4 linked regions of the Arabidopsis thaliana genome follow. The protein of the gene in region 3 interacts with the protein of the main gene of each other region in a pairwise test. Each region holds a gene or a part of one and is shown on either strand. Other genes may lie near its edges.

The links.
Region 1: the proteins of NAC001 (region 3) and AT4G14730 interact in a two-hybrid assay, tested with the Arabidopsis thaliana proteins (one large-scale study listed by BioGRID).
Region 2: the proteins of NAC001 (region 3) and AT3G14740 interact in a two-hybrid assay, tested with the Arabidopsis thaliana proteins (one large-scale study listed by BioGRID).
Region 4: the proteins of NAC001 (region 3) and UMAMIT33 interact in a two-hybrid assay, tested with the Arabidopsis thaliana proteins (one large-scale study listed by BioGRID).

The regions. Positions count from the first base shown.
Region 1 is NC_003075.7:8,445,905-8,451,444, forward strand, and holds AT4G14730 (Bax inhibitor-1 family protein), read left to right. Parts: upstream 1-2,461; 5' UTR 2,462-2,702; coding exon 2,703-2,940; intron 2,941-3,220; coding exon 3,221-3,334; intron 3,335-3,663; coding exon 3,664-3,821; intron 3,822-3,899; coding exon 3,900-4,097; 3' UTR 4,098-4,270; downstream 4,271-5,540. Other genes in the region: AT4G14740 (auxin canalization protein (DUF828)), read right to left, coding at 4,663-4,871, 5,301-5,358.
Region 2 is NC_003074.8:4,950,925-4,956,044, forward strand, and holds AT3G14740 (RING/FYVE/PHD zinc finger superfamily protein), read right to left. Parts: upstream 2,500-5,120; 5' UTR 2,383-2,499; coding exon 1,405-2,382; intron 1,315-1,404; coding exon 1,261-1,314; 3' UTR 1,137-1,260; downstream 1-1,136. Other genes in the region: AT3G14730 (Pentatricopeptide repeat (PPR) superfamily protein), read right to left, coding at 1-422; AT3G14750 (structural maintenance of chromosomes domain protein), read right to left, coding at 2,841-2,966, 3,339-3,424, 3,582-3,745, 3,830-4,449.
Region 3 is NC_003070.9:1,190-7,133, reverse strand, and holds NAC001 (NAC domain containing protein 1), read right to left. Parts: upstream 3,504-5,944; 5' UTR 3,375-3,503; coding exon 3,221-3,374; intron 3,139-3,220; coding exon 2,858-3,138; intron 2,649-2,857; coding exon 2,529-2,648; intron 2,429-2,528; coding exon 2,039-2,428; intron 1,961-2,038; coding exon 1,808-1,960; intron 1,696-1,807; coding exon 1,504-1,695; 3' UTR 1,235-1,503; downstream 1-1,234. Other genes in the region: ARV1 family protein, read left to right, coding at 65-219.
Region 4 is NC_003075.7:13,937,447-13,943,453, reverse strand, and holds UMAMIT33 (nodulin MtN21 /EamA-like transporter family protein), read right to left. Parts: upstream 3,109-6,007; 5' UTR 2,852-3,108; exon of another isoform or gene 2,605-2,851; 5' UTR 2,574-2,604; coding exon 2,395-2,573; intron 2,315-2,394; coding exon 2,129-2,314; intron 2,047-2,128; coding exon 1,528-2,046; intron 1,449-1,527; coding exon 1,253-1,448; 3' UTR 1,018-1,252; downstream 1-1,017. Other genes in the region: TET7 (tetraspanin7), read left to right, coding at 1-339, 604-888; AT4G28030 (Acyl-CoA N-acyltransferases (NAT) superfamily protein), read left to right, coding at 4,323-4,595, 4,829-4,984, 5,148-5,243, 5,333-5,453, 5,528-5,706.

The sequences.
Region 1 (5,540 bases), on a different chromosome or scaffold from region 3:
CTGGACTTTCATCAGAAAAGTTTATGTCATCATGCTGCTCCTTTCTATCCTTTTTCTCGGAGTAGCCGCCGTTTTTCTTTCGTAGATCTCATCACCAATCCCGACCATCCCCTCGACTTCTTTTATGTTGTATTCCGGCTTCGGTTCCTTCGTTAAGTCTCCTTTCACATATTTCGTTTTTAAAAAAAAAAAAAAATCAGTTGATCCTTCGATTTCTTGCTTATTTAGAAATTATAGCTATGCTAATTGGGTTATTTAGGGTTTATAGCTATGTTAATTTTTTCGGCATCACATTGCTTATTTAGGGCTTTTGGGTTACTTTATTTGTGCCAATGCGATTCACCAAAAAAGCTCGAGATTTTATCGATACAATTAGCTACACTTGTTTTTGTTGATCTTGTACAACGAATTTAACTGTTCTGTTGATTCATCGCTTGAATGCTTATATATTTAATGGTGTTTGTGGTGTTGTGGCCACTCTTTGCTTTTGAGAAGTTCCAAAGGATCAGTTTGAACATTAATTGTTAATTAAGAACAATAAAAGTGGGTTGTTGTAGTATTAATGTTCTTGTCATGACAGTGGAGGCACTAGAAGAAACGATTGAGGAAACTAACTAAAGAGGATGCACGAGAAGATGAGACAGACATCCGATTAGTCTCCAAGCTATAAGGACGTACATCTTCCTACACTTGGAAAACTCCAATTAATTCTCCTCTACCCCGCTTTTATTATTTTGTCAATTTCTTCATCCAATCAAATGTATAAAGCTCATAGTTCCTTTGTAAGTAACTATTCTCACATTGTTTGAATATATACGTTGGAGTCTCCCATGGTTTCTAATGAACTTCAATTGGCACCAATATTATAGATTCGGTCATCCCGTTCTATTGTTGTTTGAGACGGTTGGTTGGTTGGTTAAACTTACACATAGTCGCTCAGTTCACAAAGCGTAATTGTTATGTTACGCTCTATTTCTATGAGATAAATTAGCCATATGAATTTTAAAGCTTAAGAGTAAAATGATGTATATATGATTCTACATTTACTCATGTTAGAATTCTAAACAAGATTTCTCAGTTTAAATAGTAAAAACTTGATATGGCTCAAACACTTGAAGTGACAGACACGTTGCAAATTTGGGACTACGTTGTGAATAAAACTTCTGACTGGAAACGGTGTCTTTGATTCGTCTTAATTGCGACCACAATGATATAATCTACTAGTAGTCTTATAATATTAAGGAATATGAGACGGTTTATCGACTACATTTTTTGTCATAATTTTGTGATGGTTTTGTCATTACTTTGTGTGTAGTCATTTATTAGTTGCAAAATAATCATAAAACCATTACAAATATTTGCGACAAAAAAAATTCATAAAATATAATCCCAAAATGCATGTTTTCTTGTAGTAAACATGTTCCTTAGAGTGGAATTTCTTCATATATTTAAATATCTTAGTTGGCTTGGAATACCCTCCAGGCCTCCATCTTGGGTCATGGTAACCCATATAGATAATTTTTATTTTTCAAAACCTAAATAGTAGTTTAATAAATTCATAGCCTTAGCTATATCTTAGTATGTTGATGTAATTTTTATTTTCAGGTCCACAACTGATTATTTGTTTATCTGTTTTCTCAAATAAGTCCACTTCCTATATTAATCTTAGTTAATCTTTATACAATGTATCTTCTTTAAATATGCTATCATGAAAATGACACAGTTTTTGGTCTTTTATCAGTCAGATTCCAAAACATTTTACACCATTTCGATATCCTACAAACTCTTCTCTCTTGACTTTTGGGTTAAGTACTTGTCTTGATCCACATGTACAAGTTATTTATAAAACCAAACCTTTTGAGATTAAACAAAGCCTTAGTTTAGTAATTAATAACCAAAACCCATAAGATTGGTTAACGTTTTTGATAAATGATTCTAACGCGTTATCTAAAGAACAAACTCTATCAGATTATGAACTGTTTCACTGTAGGTCTCTCGTTTAAAGTAAATTTTCGATTATACAGTGAGCTTTCTAAAACTCTTAAAATCATACATTAATAACACTTAATCAACTCACTAGATCGTCATTTGATATACATTTTATCCTCTCTTTTTTTTGGTTTTAGAAAAGGAAAATTAAAGAAATAATTGTCATAGATATCATAATTACTGTATATCCGCTATTTTAAATATATAGCATTTCAATTTACAAATTTATTTCTATAAATAGTACAAGAATAGTAATAGTCTCCTTTCCATTTGCATATATTTTGAGTTACGACAAATAAATAAGACAAAAATTACGTACCCGTTAACACCACAGTTATAAAGCAGCCCCAGATAGAACACGTGTCTTAAGATCATTGGTACGTCTCGAGATCCAATATGACGGTGCAGTGACTGTAAATTAACCCGTAACTCACCTCTTGATTCAACAAAAATGAAAAACCGATACTTTCCCGGCAATGTTTGGTTACACAGTCAGTGTCACACTCACACACCCGCGGAAAAACGCCGTCCACTGAATTCCACGTGTCGAAACATAATTGGGTAGTTAGAGTAACCACAGTGACGGAACAGTAACACCAGCATTACCCTTTAGTTTCCCCGTCACTTTCTTTCTTCCGTAGTTTCCTCAGACAATCAAAAACCTCTTCTTCTTCTTCAGAGCTTTGTTTTTTTTTGCGATTTCAACAACAAAAATGGCGAAATCTGACATTGAAACTGGTGGTGGTAACGAGCTGTATCCGGGAATGAAAGAGAGCTCGGAGCTTCGTTGGGCTTTCATAAGAAAACTTTACAGCATTTTGTCTCTTCAGTTGCTTGTCACCGTCGGAGTCTCCGCCGTTGTTTACTTCGTCCGTCCGATCCCCGAGTTCATCACCGAGACTCACCGTGGCCTTGCCGTCTTTTTCGTCATCCTCCTCCTTCCTCTCCTCCGTTACGTCTCCTTTCACATACTTTTGTTTATCCATTCATTTCTAGGTTCCATCATCGTCGCTTAGGGTTTTGAGTTGCTTTATTTGTGCGGTTCACTAAAAAAGCTTGCGACTTGATCGATATAGTGTTCACTTTAGCTACTCTAGCTTCGTTGATGTTGTGAAACTATAATGTTCCGTTGATTCATCGTTTAAATTCTACTGTGTTGTTAACGATTTGATATATCCACTTAGTTTGTAGAGTGTTTCACTGAGTGATCTGGATTTGATGTGTGTTGTAGTGTTGTGGCCTCTGTTGGCTTTTGAGAAGAAGCATCCGATAAACTGCATTGTCCTGTCCATCTTCACTCTCTCCATTTCCTTCTCTGTGGGGATTTGCTGCTCTCTCTCCCAAGGTATGGATACAGAGATATATCACACTTGGTTGGCTTGTGGTGTTGTTAAAAGACAAACCATTTGTCATATTTTGCCTTGGATTGTTCTCTGCTTGAAATAATCAACCAACACTAGTGTTGGTGTGATATTGATTAGATAGTACTGTTTTCTTAACCATAAAAGTTGAAATTTAGTATCTTGTTGGCTTTAACATGGTGAATCATGAAAAAGAGGAACATGGCATGAGATGCTTTCATGCTTTTTTGTCAAGCAACTTATTAACTCTGTTTCCTATAACTAGAGTTACACCATTTGGTTAGAATCTAATTTCCAAGTATTGTGAAAACAGGGAGGATTGTTCTGGAGGCTGCAATTCTCACAGCTGTGATGGTCTTTGGTCTAACGATCTACACCTTCTGGGCAGTGAAGAGAGGACATGATTTCTCCTTCCTTGGACCATTCCTCTTTGGTGCTCTCCTCATTATCCTTGTCTTCACCCTTTTGCAGGTACTAACTCAGTAACTCTCAATCTATTCAAAGTTTTGGGATATATTATCACAAAGCTAAACAATGAAATGAATGCAGATATTCCACCCTCTGGGGAAGCTATCATCGATGATATTCAGCGGAATAGCTTCAATAGTGTTCTGCGGATACATCATCTTCGACACCAATCAGCTGATCAAGAAACTCAACTACGACGAATATATCACTGCAGCGATTCGTCTATACCTCGACGTTATGAATCTCTTCCTCAGTCTCCTCGGCATTATAAGCAACTGAACGTTATGAATCTCAATCTCCTATAGTATTCTACTTATTCCAGACATAGATTTATCGAATATTAAGAACACATGTTTATGGCTTGATTAAGTTGTTAACAATACCAAAGGTCCAAAACATTCTACATAAGCAAACAATCCTTAATGATTTATTTGTCTCCTTGTGAGTTTAGAAATATAGGCAGCTTCTTTGGTCAATCAATGGATAGATATTACAACAATAATGGGACAAAAAAGAAGCATATTTGATGTTGTTCCCAATAAAATATTGAAATTGGACCCATCAATTTTAAAATTAAAACATACTATATATCTATTACTTCAACTTTGTTTTTTTATACAAAAAGACCACCAACAACCAAAAAAAAACTAAGAACATAGATATTACAGATCACCCCCACTAAGTTTTGTTTACCCAAATGCTTCCTCACCTTGACTGGTAGGTCCATTTTATCCTATACCCAACCCAAAAAACCATTACCTTAAAAGAACCCCTACTAATGAAATTTGACCACATAAGTTAAAAAAAAACTCACACTTAAACCAAGCAGCCATTGAACGTTTATTCACATCCTAAACTTCCTCTCAGCAGCAAGAACAAGAAGCCTTGAGACACCTTGTGTCCACATTTCATATTCCCTTTGGCTCTTGACCTCGAATTCAACATCACCTCGCATAACCGTCTTCAAACCGAAGTATCTTAGATCATCTCCTCCCTCTAGCAAATGTCGTCCAGGCCAGGCCGGGACATTCTTGATCACATCAAGCACAATGTCTGTAACAAAATTGGAAAGATAGTAAAATAATTAATAGAAGAGTCTTCTTCAAGTTCACATTCAAAAGCAAGACAAAAAGTAAAAGATTGAAGGGATTTGATCCTATAGTTACTTTAGTCACATATACACTTTTGCTTTTTCAATTTTTTTTCCTTTTCTCGTCTCAAATCCCCATATCTAAAGCAGACCCACCTCAAAGTTTTGAATTCTCTTTACCAGGTTCACATATAATTGACTCATTGACAGTAGATAGTGACAAAAAGTAAAGCTTTCAATATCAAACTAAAGAAACATTCTTTGTTTTTAAACCCATTAGAAGAATCATCTGAAATGTCTTGGAAGGAATTAGAGAAATCTCCAACCAAACTATTCAGGGTTTAAAGTGGTGTTATACTTATAGTATGTAAAAAGAGTAAATAATCACTTACTCTTTTTCTTCTTGGTGAAGGTTCCTCCAACATGCCTGCTCTTCATCTTCAACATAACCTATAAGTTCAATAAATCAAAACAAATTAGTGATTCTGTAAGAGATGCTTAAGCAGCAAAGACAAAAGTGGATCCCATGATTTCAGTATCATCATCATTATCAAAACAGTGCTTTTTATTTTTAAGCTTTAGTATTGTTTCTACTTTCTCTTCTTTTCCTGCCGTTTGAAATTTCTCTTTTC
Region 2 (5,120 bases), on a different chromosome or scaffold from region 3:
GACCCATTTACCACAAACCCAGAAATCAAAGCGTTGTAACCAAATACATCGCGTTCGGATCCACCAAAGACCAACACCGCACGCCGCATGAGACCACACTTAGCGTACATGTTAACGAGGCTCGTGCCGGCGCGTGGCGAATCATCCAGAAACCCTTTTCTAACCATGAAACCGTGGATCTGTTGGCCGGAAACGTAATCTTTGCGCTGTGCACAGCGTTGCAATGTGGCGATACATGTAGCAACATTGTGGTGCTCGTATCTCTTCGGGTTTTCTTCGATTTGCCCAGAAACAGTCGAATATAAAGATGCTAAAGCAGAAGAAGGCTTTATAGCTGCGAATAAATCTGGGTTCCGTGGGAGAAATCTCAAAATTCCGGCAGAACAATTTTGAATCTCGATCCGTAGAAACGAGACGGTCATTGTTTTAGTTCCACCACGATTATATTTGAAATTTACGTGAGTGTGAGTGAGACTTGCATAAGAAAATAAAATCTTTAGTTGGGAAAAAATTCAATAATATAAATGGGCTTGAGAAGGAAGCGAGGGATAGGCCTTTTTCTAAAATAGGCCCATTTAAGCTATTAACAATCTTCAAAAGTACCACAGCGCTTAGGTAAAGAAAGCAGCTGAGTTTATATATGGTTAGAGACGAAGTAGTGATTGTCCCTTCGGGGACATCCGATAAAATTGGAACGATACAGAGAAGATTAGCATGGCCCCTGCGCAAGGATGACACGCATAAATCGAGAAATGGTCCAAATTTTTTTTGGCAAAAATTTTCAGATTTTTTCTTCATCTGTAGATTTCTGGGTTTTTTTTTCCGTTTCGTGAATCATAAGTGAAGTTTTGGATGCAAATCTGCGCGAAAAAAGTTGGACCTGCAATGAGCTTATTTAGATAGCTAAGACAAAGTGATTGGTCCGTTGTTTCAGTTCTGATTGTCAGAGAGTTTGTTTCGAGACGGCGACACCAATGCGTTTTGTTAACCAGATTTCGGGTAAGAAATGTATCGAGAGTTTGTTTCGAGACGGCTACATCATTTTCTTATGAAGGGTGAAATTAGATAGACCAAAGATTGAAACACAACATTTCTTTCACAAAAATATAATAAACTTGATAGCATTTAGGATCAGCTACTCTCACTAATCAGATAAATAAGAAGAACAAACGTTTTAAAACAATCAAATACATGAGTGGAAGCTTCAGAGTTGCAAGCAAAAAAAGCATGGTCTTCAGGTCATGGCCCTTGAGCTTTCTCCTACTTTTTATCTTCTTCTCTGGCAACAATCTTGTACTTTCCACTTTCCTGTTGCTGACAAAAAAAAGTTACCATCAAAAATTGAGCCCTATACAAAACATCCACAACTACACAGATCAGAAGAAAGTTGGATACAAATCTTACCCTTTCCCAAAGTTTGGTATGCTCATTACAGAAACCAACAACAATACCACCACTCTTCTTCCCTTCACGATACTCAATACAAAGATCTTCCTTTAACCCACAAGTAACATGAAAAGCCAACTTACATCTCATCTCCGAACACTCAATAACACAACCGCGTCTAACCTTACACAAATAACACCTATCTTTCCATCTCTTACTCAATACCTCACTACAACAAATCCCTTCTCTTCCTTCAGGATCCTCAAAGTAAACTTCCGGAACAAACAACGCACAAGTAATATGAGCCCATCTACCATCATTCGTAGGTTTCATCGCCCCGCCTTTAGTTGTACACAAGCAGCAAGAGAAGATCTTTTCTCGGTTCTTCGACGATAAACACTGTCTACAAAACCAATCACCTTCTGGAATAGCCTTAACAAGAGGATTCCCATAGCAAGAAGCATGAACCATCAAATCACAACCATCACAGAACACAATTGGATTCAATGGATCACCATCTGTACTTTGACATACAGCACACATAATCCCATCTTCATCTTCTACTTCTCTATCAGAGAGATCTAAAGCTTTTCCTTTCCCTAGAGGATCTATATTCTCTTTATCATCATCTTCTTCTACCTCTAGACTAGATTCAACATTTAGAGTTGACTTTTTCTCAATTGATTTCTCTTCAACATAAGGCTTATACTCTACATTTAGATCAAAAGGCGAAAAGGGGTTACCACCACCGGAGAGAAGATCGGGATCAATCGCCCAGATCCTTTTCTTCGCCGGAAGACAATGATAGGTGGGATTGGAGTTCTCTGCGTCGTCATCGTCATAATCAACACGAGTCTGCTTCCTCTTCTTTGCCGGCAACTGCAACGACTTCATCTCCGGTTGGTTCGGTAGCTGGTGCTGTTGAGCAGCTTCGAGATCTCTCTGCAACAGTCTTAATCTTTTGAGAGGAGGTAGATCTTGATATTGAGCATCCATGGCTTCTTAGTTTCAGATCTCTGGGTTTGTGTGAATGGAACAGTCGTAGATCTCGGAGAAATTAAAGGCATGAGAAATTGATATTTACCCGCCAATTGACTTCTTTGTGCGCCAAATTTCTGAAATTTGTTCCGATTTTAAAATTTCGTTAATTTTCTTCTTCTTCTGTTTTTGGTTCATCAACTGAAACTAAAATTTTAGAATTTTACCCGCCAATTGTTAAAAAGAGCGAGGGAGGTGGTCTCTTATGGGCCTTTATTCGGTCCATTGAAGATGTTAATGGGCTTATTTAAATTAAAAAAACTGTGGTTTCCAAGTTTCTTACTTAACAACACTTTAATATGTTGGCTTTGTTCACAATCTATCAGAGACTATCAGAGTATACAAAAGGGAGGCTGCTTTAATTTCATGAGAGTCGCTTGAAAAATGGGCGACTTTGACTTTGAATCTTGACTTTTTCATCGATGTCCTTGTCCTTGTGGTGGCGGCTGCTGCTGCTGTTGCTGTTGCGGATCGTAGCCACCAGCCCACGCAGCCTGTGGTCCGTAAGGAGGAGGATAATAGCCAACAACGCCTGTTTGTGCCTGAACCAGCATTGTTATCATATCAGCACATTACTTTACATGTGTATGAATGTATGCACCTAAAACTACAAGAATAGGAGATATATGAAGATAGATGTTGTTCAGTTACATATTCTGTCACAGGTTTCATCGACATCAGCTCACATTGTTGACTTAGATTGGTCTAATAAATCGATTAAGCCAGTTCCGTTTTACATCAGATTGACTTGTTCGAACTTTAGGCTGTACTATTGGCTACTGAAATTCGGTTTAAATTCAAAGTTCAAACAAAGTGTGAAACTGTGTAGAGAGAATTATGGTGCGTTCAGACATATCATCTACTATGCACACGCAATGTAAAAAAATATAAAAAGTCAAAATTTTATAACTTACTGGATTCATGGTATAGTTGGGTTGATAAGGATTCACAGGATACCCAGCCTCAGGATTTCCATATCCACCACCATAAGCAACTCCACCTGATCAAAACCATGTTTTTTGATTAACATTGCTATATGCATTCAACTGTTGATCGACTGTCTATTGCTAGTTATTAGTTTTCCTTTCTACTTGTGCATTTAATAGGCATTGTGGTGACTGCTTATAAAGGTTTACACTTATTCAAGTTTATCATACCAGGATTCCCAACAGGACCATTAGCATAAGCACTCGTTTCTGAGTTAGCAATCTCTGCTCGAAGCTTCTCCAGTTCCCGAGCCATTGCAACTAATTTATGCTCCATAATTTTGCCATGCTCGTAGTTTTCCGCGTACCCTTTCTTCTCATAATCAATAGCCGCTCTACAAAACAGAAATCACAGCTTAACATACACATTATCATCAATATGAACAAAGGCAAATCTTAAAAAAGAGACTGGTCAAAACCTTGCGCGTTGCAGCTCTTGCTTTGTGTTCTCAATTTCTGCAGTTAACGTTGGTATCTGCTGCAAATCTGCTGTAAGTCTAGCTAAATCTTGAGTCATCAGGTGAACCTGACTCGTTAGTTCCTGTCTACCTGAAGTAAACTCTTTGATATCCGCACGGATCTTTTGAATCTCAGCTCGCATAGCATCGACTTCACGCAATTCCATTTCGGATCGCATAGATTTATCATACATCTCCCTCATCATAATCTCTTCCTCAGCTCTCAAGGAATCAATGTAATGCATTATTCTTTGCAATTCATGCTGAGCAACTTCTAACTCCTGTTTAAGCGCAACATGAGTCGCAGCCAGTCTCTGGTTATCAGCGAGTAAGCCCTGAACATCTTGATTCTGAGCAGCGAGACGATCCTCCAGAATCGAAAATTGTGGAGGAAGACCTCTTGCATCTACTCTAAATTGAGGTTCTCTACTATCATCAATCATAGAAGGATGAGGAGGAGGAGGCACTGGTCCTCCTCCTAAGCCTCTAACGAAAGGCGGTTGATGAACCGGAGCTTGTAAACCACTGTAAGATCCACCTTTCATTGATGGAGGAGGAGGTCCACGATTTCTTCCAGACATTATCTTAATGTTCAATACTACGCAGAATCAAATTCTAGTTTCACTTCCTGGAAAATTCGAGTGCCAACAGAGGAAACGAAAAGGTGTACAAACTCAGAATCACGAACTGACCTTCGACGACGAACAACAGAAGTTTTCACAACCGGAGAAAACAAATTAGGGTTCTTAAGATGACGCCTAGTTCACTAAATCGGAGATCGATCAACTAAAAACTTATTATAAGAACGTTCGCACAACTGTAGAAAGAATCTCCGATTTGCTCAAGGAGATCAAAACCCTTCCAATTCGCCGGAAAAGTAGATAAAGCGGAGGTTTCGTTTACTAATAGTAATATTTTAAATTACTCCTTTTAGTAATTTGTATTTACACATTATATCTCCATGATACTACCTGAGTTTCAATTTGCACCAAAATGTTTTGGATGTTTCAATTTGATCCTTCATCTTTAATTTGTGGTACCACAAGGTCCACTAGGTCCACCCAACAAGAACATGAATAGACATTGTATGGCTCGTGATCTCATCAAAACCTTCTGTCCCTACAAGCTATATAGATTCCATACTACAAATCATGCAAGTAACCTCAAATCTTAAAAAAAAATTAATCAAAATTTGACTACCTACCTGATTACAATTTGATCATTCATTTCTTTGCTAATCTTGAACCAAAAT
Region 3 (5,944 bases):
ATGCAAATTGTTTTTTGTTGTTGTTATTTTGGAATCTCACAATGCAAGTTTGTCTTTAAACCAGTGATGACTGAATCAACAATGACCAGATGCATAGCCGTATGCTTAATCGCGCACTTGATTAGATTCTTGGTGGGTCAGATTTTTGAGCCGACAATATTTTTGATACAAATTGGATCTCTGTTGCAATATATGTCTTATTTTTTCAGAATCGTATGATCCCATCAGCTTCCAGTATAGTCTTTTGGTTTGAAGATAAGAGAAACCTTTACATTATTATACCATACTGTATTTTATGACTAAGCCAAATATTATCGCCACCAAAAATTGAATTAGACCTTACTAAAATATCAAAAGTTAATTGTTGGTCTGTTACTCTGTGCGGGCGGATATAACTCAACCACCTACAATTATTTGCCCTACAAAAACCTTGTTCCTCACGATATCGTCGCTCCATCTTTCTTGGAATGCTGGGCATATGTGGTGGTACCCTCCTTGGAATGGTGGGCATATGTGGAACCCTCCTATGAATGTTGGAGATATGTGGGACTCTCCTATGAATGTGGGGCATCAACACATTGTTGCAACACCAAGTGAATGTCATAGGAAAGACGAGGAGACGGTTGAAGCCGAAGTTGAGGCTCCCCTTGATTCTTATCCGGAGAATGCTACTACCATGGCGAGAAAGCAACCAAAGGCAAGTTAAATATCTGAAAATGTTGAGAATTCTGATGATAACTAAAGCATTGAAACGAATATTGGGTTAACTTAATAATACTTATGCTTATTTTCAAGTCTCGTTTTGTTTTAATTGACTACACTATACTTCTTAGATCCGTTATGTATATATAATTTGACCTCTTGAACCAGAATGATCCAGCCAATGATGGAGATGAACAATAAGAAGCCAATGATCATGTTCTTGAGATAGTTCCACTGTGAATTCCTTTGACTCATCTCCTCTAAAACAATCCAGTTATGATGCTTAGTTGGAGCTTTCTTCTTCAGCCATTTTCCATTCCCACCCGTTTTTCTATAGACATATCACCTGCAACCCCAAGTCCATCATAATCCACAGTTGAAGATGTATTGTTTGAGATTTTGTATCGAAGTCATGTTACGCAGTGACATTGTTAACACCTTTTCATTTCCTTGCAAATGCAACTTTGGTTGCTAAATGAATCTTTGAGCCAACACCCTTTACTCATATTTGGGTCTCATGTAAAATCCCTTTCTTATACAAGACTATATATCACTTTATTTATATAAACTACACCACAAAACGATGCACTAATTATTATTACATATACTTTTTTCCAATTCATATATATGATTTTCTGCATTTTTCTTCTCTCTTCTTTCCCCCTTTTTCTCTTCTTTACATACTAATAAAATATAACTTCAAACTTTTCCGGAGCGAGAAAACAGAGCAAAGAAAAAAAAACAAAAAAAAACACACATTCTAAGAAATACAAATTTTGAGCAAGAATCCGATTTGACCTCTTAACCAACAAGAATGATCCAACTAATGACGGAGATGAACAACAAGACACCAATGATCATGTTCTTGAGATAGTTCCACTGTGCATTCTCCAAAACAATCCAGCTCTGCTTCACCGTGTTGGTGGATGGAGGTATCTTGATCGAGTCTTCAGCCATTTTCCACTCGCATTCGCTTTTCTGCGAACTTATCACCTGAAAGCAGACCCATAGCTCATAATTTAGAGGTCATTTGACTAAATCTTTTTGATGAAATGTTGATTCAGATTTCGTATCAAAGTCATGTTTCTCAGTGAGAGTGTTAAACCTTTTCTTTGCTCTGCTGCTTTGGTTGCTCTTGTGCCTTATAATTGTGCAAAGGCTCAATAATGTTCAATGATGGAATATCATCTATACGAGTATGGCCCGGTTCATCTGAACTACCAACACTATCAGTGGAGCTCGAAGTGTCTTCGAAAATCTGTTAAAAGCCAAAATTCAGCGTGTGAGATATAGAAGCGATATAGGTTGTGATTATATATGAGTAAAAAAAGCTTACCATTGATCCAGTTTCAGTATCACTGCTATCATCAGGCAAAACCCCAGACACAGGTTTTTTGGGCCGGTGATCACTGTAATGCTGTTGCATAGATGTCCTTTCATCTACCAAAAACTCAAAATTTTCTTCAATCACATGCTTCCAAATCATCTCCGACTCATTTTCATAAGGTGCCAAGTAAGGAACTTGCTGTTGCAGGTCGATATAGTCACTCAGCCACTGACCGCCGTGATTTGCAAAATCATACTCAAGGAGAGGGTTGAATGATCCTTGAAGTGGTTGCTGCTGCATAATGTTAGAGTTTTCATTAAACTGCTGGCCATGATTTGCTGAATCATACTCAGAGTAAGTGTTGTAAGATCCTGAATTTCGTTGACGTGATTGGTTGACCTGAAACGAATCAACAGTTTAGGAAAACATCAAATCAGTAGACACAAGCTCTTTTTTGATCTGCCTACTCAAAGCTAAGTGTATATGGAGAAAGACTCACCACAGAACCTGCACTACTAGTCATATTGGGGACAAAAGCGGGAGTGGGATCTATTGCATAAGCAGATAGAATGTCCGCATCATCACCCTTGTACTCAAGTCTGCAGATGACATATGTCCTCTGTAAAATTTCCGGAGGTAAGCACATAAGTTCATCAGTATAAAACATTGGTGAGAGTAAGCTAAGCCTAAAATAGCTGCTGAACCTAAATAGAGTTACATTACATAGTTTCTAATTTGCATAACTCAAATTCTAACTATGAATCAGCAGAAACCACATATATATATATCCACATATATATATATATATATATATGAATAGAAGAAAACCTGATGTTCTGGTAAGAGGTCGTAGTGGAACTCGTGGATAACCCAATCAGATTTGGTTTTGTCAGGGTATCTTCCATCGAGGAACACCAAAACCCTTTTATGACCAATCTTACCACGAAAGCCCTCACTACAAAATCCCCACTGGTCCTTGACCTCAACAGATTCTCCGGTAAGCTTCCATTTACCAGAAACCGTTGTCCTGCTCTGTCGATTCCCTTTGTTGTTTTCTCTACGAGAGAAGAAGTACCACATAGCATCTCTCGATTTGTACTTTGACTGGACTGTTCAAAACAAAAAAAAACCCTAAAATCAAAAACCTAAATCGATTACTTGCAAATGAAATTCAGAAAATTCGGAACTTACAGCGCAAGTTCCAAGGATCGTAGCTACAGATGTTGACCTCGCTGATGGCTACTTCAACGTCGCGGCTAGTGTTTCCTTCGATTTTGTTACGGAGATAGTGACCAACGAGCTCCTCGTCGTTCGGACGGAACCCAAACCCAACTTGATCCTCCATTTTCACTAAACCGTCCGATTTCAATGGTTTCCGGGTAAAGAGCTTCGCCGTCGATCTCTCTCGCTCTCTGTAATCTGTATTTCTCCGATTATGTATTTGTTTTCTCTGGTTTGGTATATCTAATAATTTGGAGGGAGGAAGACAGTGAAGTCAGCGTTTAAATAAGACAATTTATTCCTTTTATTTTTATTTTCTTAATTAAATTAATATGGATCTCCGGTTTAATTGGTATGGTTTTACCGGTCCTAACAATTTTAAAGATTATTAAAACAATTGATGGTATGAAATTTCATGTAGTAAACCGAGTAGTATTAACTATTAAGATTTATTAGTCTTAATCATATTATTTTTTACTTATGATGGTTTAGAATTTTAATCAATGTAAGTAAACAGAGTTCAGATTTAAACCAATTTAACAATTAAAAAAGATTTAATAATAAATTTTATAAAATCGGTTTGGGTGAACCGTGGATTGAATATCATCCTCTGTAGAAATTTGTATTCCCCTTTTAGTATTATAATAGAAGAACATATAAAATTTAAATAAATATAAATTAAGCCTTATAAAGGAAGGCTGGGAAGCTGCTGGGCGGTAATAATGGGTCCCTCCCAAAGCAAAACAAAGGAGAGCAACTCGAATCTGTCTTCTAGATTATGTGTGTGAACACGCCAAATATTTTCATCTCATTCGTTTTTTAACATTAATAAGAGTGTGCTTATTTTTAATCTTGAATCCTATCGATATGTTGTTAAATCCATCTAGAAGGTTGACTTTTTGAATCGCTGGCTAATTGTTAGCTTTTAATTTTGACCATGTTGTTTTGCTTGTCGCAAATGGTTCGTGGGGTTGCATTTTATCATGGAACAATGTATGTGTCTTACGAACTCATAACGATTGAGCCGTTTTCCAAACCGAACAAAATAATAACGTAACATCTTTAAAAGCATCCACGCCAGTAGATAACATACACATAGTAGGAAGTAGGTGATTAGAAAACTCTAATATCCCTAGAAAATTAGTACTAGTGTGGGATGCATGCAATTATCTAGTGGCTCTCATTAGTCACTAACGTGTGGTAGGTTCAAGTCTTCCTAAGTGAAGTTTTAATATTGGCAGAAATAGCAATATCTTTTAACAAACAAATAAAACCAGCATTATATCTCTGCCTACCTTTTCTTTCTACTTTTTTCTTTTGTCTTTTGGGGGTTTAGATAATAGATTGTTTCTACTTTTTGGATTTATCATGGTCGTTGGTATGCTTGTGAGTTGTGACTAGAAACGTTATGACATGCCTTCATAACAAGCCAAAATTTAAGGTAACGAAAGCGATATGTTGATGTATGGATTTCTTATTTTTCGCCACAACTAAAAAACATGGCTTTGGTGAAGAGAGGAAAAAATAATATAGGTTTAAAGATAGGATATATAGCTGTAGATATAGCTAAGATGATGAAAAAGGAACGACATTCTAAAAACAAAATCTACAAGGAGATTTGATTTCGTATCTCCAAATGACTTAAACAACATTCATGACCAAAATTTTCTTTTACTTTTGAATTTATGCGTATTATAAATTTAGAAGATAGCTCTTACCAAAACATAAAAGAGAACAAGTGGTTTGAAATGTTGACCAATATATGGGACTTTCATTGCAAGAAAGATGATAGTGAAAAAAATTAAAATAAAAATATAATAGGAGTCAAACATAATGAGGGGAATAATACTTTTGTTGTCGCTGGTTTGATATCACATGAAACATTTTACTATGAATACATGGTTAATATTTTTTATGCTGAGTAAATAAATATAAGTATCGAAATAGCATATATGTATATGGGGTTTTTGGAAGATTTTAGTGTCCAGACACTGAATTATTCTTTTAACAAAGTGAGTGACCAAAACTTAGAATTAGATTAAAACCCTGTAAAATATTGTTTTAAAAACTGTCTTTGATCCCTTCTTGTCATTGTTGGCATTCTCGTACCTATTTCCAAATTCATTCATGCATTTGGACAAATGATGATGTATGATATGGTCCATATCATATGGAGATAGATGTGGATGGAAGAACACATTATAAAAACAAAATCTTAAAGGAGATTTGATTTCGTATCTCCAAATGACGGAACCTTGGCCACATTCAGGACCAAAACTTCATTCACATCTTCCATATACAGTAATTAGAAGATTACCCAAACAAAAGTAAGAACATGACACGTGCTTTCACATGTTGACCAATTGGGGACTTCCCTTGTAAGAAAAGATTTTACTCATATACAATGAGAAGTCAAACTTCATTCACATCTTCCATAACATAACGACACTGACTCTTTACCTAATTTTTCTATGATCATTGAATCAAAGGTTCCTCTAATTCAACATCTCATTTATATAATCTAGATAGATAGAAAAAAAGTAAGTGAGAAGAAATCTCGGGATCTTTGGTGTTTCTCTGACCATTTTATAAGAATGTATTACTTATAAATTTATGAAAGAAAAATCAAGCAGATGTGATTCATGGAGGAATCACAGAACTATCATTAATAATTACAACTTTTTTCAGTATGTC
Region 4 (6,007 bases), on a different chromosome or scaffold from region 3:
TCAATCGCCGGACTCGTCGGTGCTTGTTGCCGTGTCTCTTGCCTCCTCTGGCTTTACCTCTTCGCTATGTTCCTCCTCATTCTCCTCGGCTTCTGTTTCACAATCTTCGCTTTCGCAGTCACAAACCGCGGCGCCGGTGAGGTTATATCGGATCGAGGGTATAAAGAGTATCATGTCGCCGATTACTCTAATTGGTTGCAGAAACGTGTCAACAATGCTAAGAATTGGGAACGGATCAGGAGTTGTTTGATGTACTCTGACGTTTGCTCCACTTATCGTACTCGTTATGCCAGCATTAACGTTGAAGATTTCTACAAATCTAATCTTAATGCTCTTCAGGTTCACAATTTTGATCTGATTTAAAAAAAATTTCATCTGTGATTTAGAATTAGAGATCGGGATTTTAAAAGTGAATCTAGCTTTTTGATGAGATTCATGGATTCAACTTTGCTTTTTCCTCAAAAAGTGATTTTGTTTTATGAACAAAAAGCTTACTTTTTCTCCCATGGAAACAAACACACAAAGCCTTTTAGAAAGATTTAGTCTTTAGAAATAATAGTGATGTTTTTTACTAACTACTTTTTGTTTGCTTTACTTGTGTAGTCTGGTTGTTGTAAGCCGTCCAATGACTGTAACTTCACCTATGTGAACCCGACTACTTGGACAAAGACTCCTGGTCCATACAAAAACGAGGACTGTAATGTGTGGGACAACAAACCAGGAACTCTCTGCTACGACTGTGAAGCCTGCAAGGCTGGTCTGCTTGACAACATCAAGAACTCATGGAAAAAGGTGGCTAAGGTCAACATTGTCTTCCTCATATTCCTCATTATCGTCTACTCTGTTGGTTGTTGTGCGTTCAGGAACAACAGGAAACGCAGTTGGTAATAGATTCTAATGCGTTGAAACCAAGACTAAGGCCAGAGAAGATATCTGAAGTGTCATCATCTTACTGTCAAGTAAGTTAAAGCAGCATTTAAGACAACTCGTTGATCGCTTGTCTTGTGTGTGGGGGATTGCAATTTCAATGTATTTTCTCTCTTAAATTTGCAACATAATGAGTTACAAAAGCACTTGCTTGTGCTTCTATTTCGACTCTTTTGTGTGTTGAGTAGCTTATACATCTGTTGAGACGAGTGAGATTTGTAAAAGAAGTTCCATTTCACTTTGCGTTATTATCATTTTCATATTCTTTAAGTGTCCATTGTCAAAAATTTCCACTTACACCATGTAGAACTGACTTCAATAAAACTCACATGAGAAGAGGTTCTAATAGCTCCGAACTACGAAAGGCCTTATCACCAATCATAATGGAAACAATGTCAGATTGAGAGGAAGTGTTGTGTTCATTTTCCAATTTCAGGTCTGTTGATTCTTCTTGATAGTCTTCAGATTTGCCCCAGAGAACAATGTAGAGACCAAGGATGATAGCCAAAGCGCCTAACAAGCTGCAGAAACGAGCAAAACAGATTTAAAAATGTGAATTGAGCTACAGAACGAAGAGAGGATAGTAAGAAAATGGCATACCTCCCGAGGTAAGTCTGTTCTTTTAGATACAGAGCGCCGAAGAAAGTGACGATGACTGCAGAAAGAGGGTTGAAGAGGGCAGAGAAAACAGGTCCTTTCTGTGATACGATCCAAGCTTGTAGAAAGAAAGATATCGCCAACTGGAATCCAGAGTATATGCAGCAAGAGAGCTTCAAGAAGGAATCAAGCTTCCAGGGCGGTAAATGAGTGTTGCCTAAGGCGAGAGCCACGAGGAAAGAAGCTATGGTAGCGATGAAACATGTGCAGGCAGAAGTGTACAAGTGGTCAGGACAGTGAGAGGCAATAGGAACCTGAAGGATCAACCAAAGAGACCAAGCAAATGTGCTAATAAGAAGGAAGAAGCAGCCGAGTAACCAAGCTGTGTTGTCTTGGTTGAGCAAGGCATTGAGCAATTTTGGACCTCTGAGAAAAGTCATTGCCATGGCTCCTCCCACACAGACACCAGTTCCTATTACTTTTGCAACACTTTTCATACTTCTCCTCTTTATACTCTCGAACCTGAAACAAACATCCAATATCAATAATAAATAACCAATCCATCAATATAGAATCTTAGAACATATATGTTGATGATACATACCCAACAATGATGGAGATAATGAAGGTGACGGCAGGAATAAGATTAGTCATGGCACAAGCCATGGATGAAGAAGACAAGTCAATCCCTTTGAAATAAGCGTTCTGATTAACAGTCACACCAATAACAGCCGTCAAAGCCACCCACCAAAAGCCTCTTACTCCCAGAGAAGGTTTGTTTTCTTTCCTCCTAATTACCATTCACATGGAAATGAGTCAGAATTCATGTGATAAATAATATATAGATTGGTTCAAAAACACTGAACTTACCAAGCGGAAATGAAAGAGATGGGGCAGATGAAGAGAGTGGCGATGGCTTGACGGTAAACAACGAAGACGGTGGGATTGAGACCTTCCATGAAAGCAGCTTTCGTGAAGAGTGCAACTCCGGCGGACGTAAACTGCAACATCACTAACGCTAGCACCGCCTTGTATTTCGATATCTCCATCTCTCTCTCTCTCTCTTAAGATCTACAATCACTAAAAAATGAATCTCTCAATATACACGTCTCTTGTAATTATATATCGTATATGTGAATACTGAATACAAATAATGTGTCGTGCGTGTGTGTGTGTGTGTATGTCAATCATGTGATAGGAAGGATTAACAAACCTGTTAGCCGCGTACGTTAGTGACATAATATTGAACTATACATTTATTAAGTCTATAGAATATGTAAGCTTCTATATATAGGTGGTTCGTGGAAGTCTTGGAATAATAGATTACCTTAACTAAAACTCGTGGGAATGATAAGAGCTTTTTATTTTGTTGACATTTCTTGCAAATGGATCTTAGACCAGCGAAAACTGGTTTCAGATATTAGCGTTGAAAGCAACAACAAAAAATATAACATGAGTGATTACGGTTTTGAGTTTCCGCATCACAAAGTAAGCAAGAAGTTGTAGTTATATTTAAAATCTAGCAAAGATATGCTCGATGCAACCATGTTCTTGGAAAGCCGAAGTTGGCCTGTAGCCCACTATTACAGTACTATATCACATGCGCACACATATATAGTAGATAATCCGACATTTATTCAATAATGTCTTGTGATTTTTTTCTATTCATTGTTTAATACGTAAGGAAAGATTGAATTAATTATTGTTCAAAGAAATCTCTTACAAAATAAAAAAGAAAAAAAGAAAAATTAAAGAAGAAAATTATACGTATAGCATTTTAAGATTTGACTACCAATTATTGTTTAGTTAATTCCTTTTGATTTCACTGTATGATATTTCATTCTCTTGACAATCACGATTGAATACGTATCAACAAAATAAAACATTTTTCAAGAAACTATGCAACCATAAAAATCGCCATTTAGGTCCTATGTGATGCGTTGTATTACGAATATTATAACGTATATTCTACATTTAAGTACAGGTGTATTGCAAGGTGGTCACAGACATCAGAATTATGAAAATAGATAAAAGATCATATGCGTGAACATGTTATAGTTAGTCACTCTAGTTGTCTTCTTGTGTATCCCTCCCACCAATCGTAAGTAGGTTTCTGTCCATTATTGCTGAAATGATTTCTATTGGTATTTGTTGACCAATAAGAATTGGATGCACGAGAAAGAAGAGATATGAATCATAGGATAATGACAAAGATCAATGACTCATGACACACATCATCATCATCCTCATTCTAATCCTTCCACACTTTCTAACTATTACTTTATATGAGATAATCTTATTTCTTTTACTAAGACATCATCATGCATGAACTAGCTCTACTTGCTTCTCTTAACGAGGGTGTAGATTACTATTATTAATTTTAATTGATTTTTATTAGGTAACAAAATACAACTCCAAATTCTTTTCTATATCAACCAAAAAGAATCGAGATACATTGATTACGTACATTCAAATGATGATGATAAAACATGTATTGTTGCGATAAGAACAATGTTATTTTTTGTCGTTGAAAGAAAAGATGATGAGTGATGATGACACATGTTGATTTTCTTTTGGTGGGAAATAAAACGTTAAAAGTTTGTTACGTATCTTTTGTTTATGAGTTATGACATTTAGTTGGTATTTGTGTGGCTGCCATTTCTCTCGGATAAAAATTGAAAGAAGCGTAAACAAACAGAAAACTATGGGCTCATATTGGGCCCAAATAATAGAAAAGCCCAAACATGCGAGCTTTGAAGCTTAGCAAGAAGCTGAGGATGTGATTAGTCCGCGAAAAAATGGCGTTTCTCTGTTCGTCTCTCCCAAGTTCATCCTCTATCGCCATTTTCGGCGACCCAAACACAGATGGATCATCACGCTCGTATCTTTCGATTCCTTCATTGAAGTTACGGTTCCGTCCCGTCGCTGCTTCCTCACACATTTGTGCTCCAGCGATCGACAAGTCGACTTTCGTCATATCCGAATCGGTGTCAGAAGATGAGCTTTGGGCTGCAGCTTGTCTCCGCGTACGAACCTTCAACGAACTCAATCCTTCTGCTTACAATATCCAAGTCAGTTTCTTACTTAATCGGTGAATTAGAAGATGATTTTTAGCTATTTGTTGTATCATGAAGTCAACTCCGTTGACTATGAATTGGTAGATGAAATGATAATTGATGTTGGAGCTGTGTTTATAGTTTTGAAGAACTTCGTTGTTGTTGTGTGATTAGTTAGTGAGTGTTTTGTTTGGTTTATGGTTTGTTTCTTATGCTGATGTTACAGTTTGCTGTTCAAGTTTCATTAGGATCATAGAAGATACTTGGCAGAGCGTGAATTCGAGGCGCTTAAGGAGAGAACTTCAGGGAAGAGGGAAGGGTTTACGCGGGTCGCTTGCATAAATGCTACCCTTCCATTGTCGCAATTATCAAGCTCTTTTGAGGATTTATGCTCTGCATGTAAGGTCTGTGTACTCAATTTGGTCATCCTGTATTTACCTGTTCAAGAGGGTTTGTTGCATTTAAGTTATGGTGCTCTACATTTGGAATTGTCATCATGTCATTGTTACTTCCTGGTCTAGAAAAAACTGTGATATGGATTTGTGCTATGGTTCATCTGTTTCTCAGTTCTCTGATGGCATAGAAGACAGAGTTGTGGTGGGAAGCCTTGATCTTAACCAATGTCGTTGGCTTCCTGATGAAATTGCTGGAACAAAACCAGAGGTATTTGTCTATTTGATGTTGCCAACAATGCTGAACTTAAAATCTGAAATTGGACAAATTGAGTAGCCTAAGAGTATTTTGTGTTATAGGGGATTGGTGTGGATTTTGCTAGAGCATACTTGAGCAACGTCTGTGTTGCAAAAGAGCTGCATCGTAATGGAGTTGGTTACAAACTTATTGACAAGTCTAAGAGAGTTGCTGGAGAATGGGGTAAGAACATTTAAATCAAACTCCTTAGACTTGTGCAATTGAAGTTTTTAAAAAGAGTTGTGAATATGGTTCAGGCATAACGGATATGTACGTGCATGTGACGGTAGACAATGAAGCAGCGAAGAGTCTATACATGAAAAGTGGGTTTGAGCAAGAGACCGCTGAGCCAGCGTGGCAAGCTCGATACCTCAATAGGCCACAACGGCTCCTCCTCTGGCTCGCCCTTCCTACCTCCCCAATCATGTCCATGTAATTGTAAATTTTCCAATATATCCAATATGTCAACCTGTTCTTGGCAATCAATAAAAGCTTTATAACTCTCCACAAAATTAATTCATTAGCTTAAAGGTAAATTACTAATTACAAATATGTGATGTCTACATATACCAACATTCTATTTTACTAATTGCACAGAAAACACTTGGTTTAGTTAGTCCCTTGTCGTGTATAATCAAATCACCCATAAAAGGAACTTTAGTTGGATAAGATTTGGGATGTTTTCTGTATTTTGTTTTTCCTTGGTCGTGGAAATACAAACGACGACGTTTTGAGTG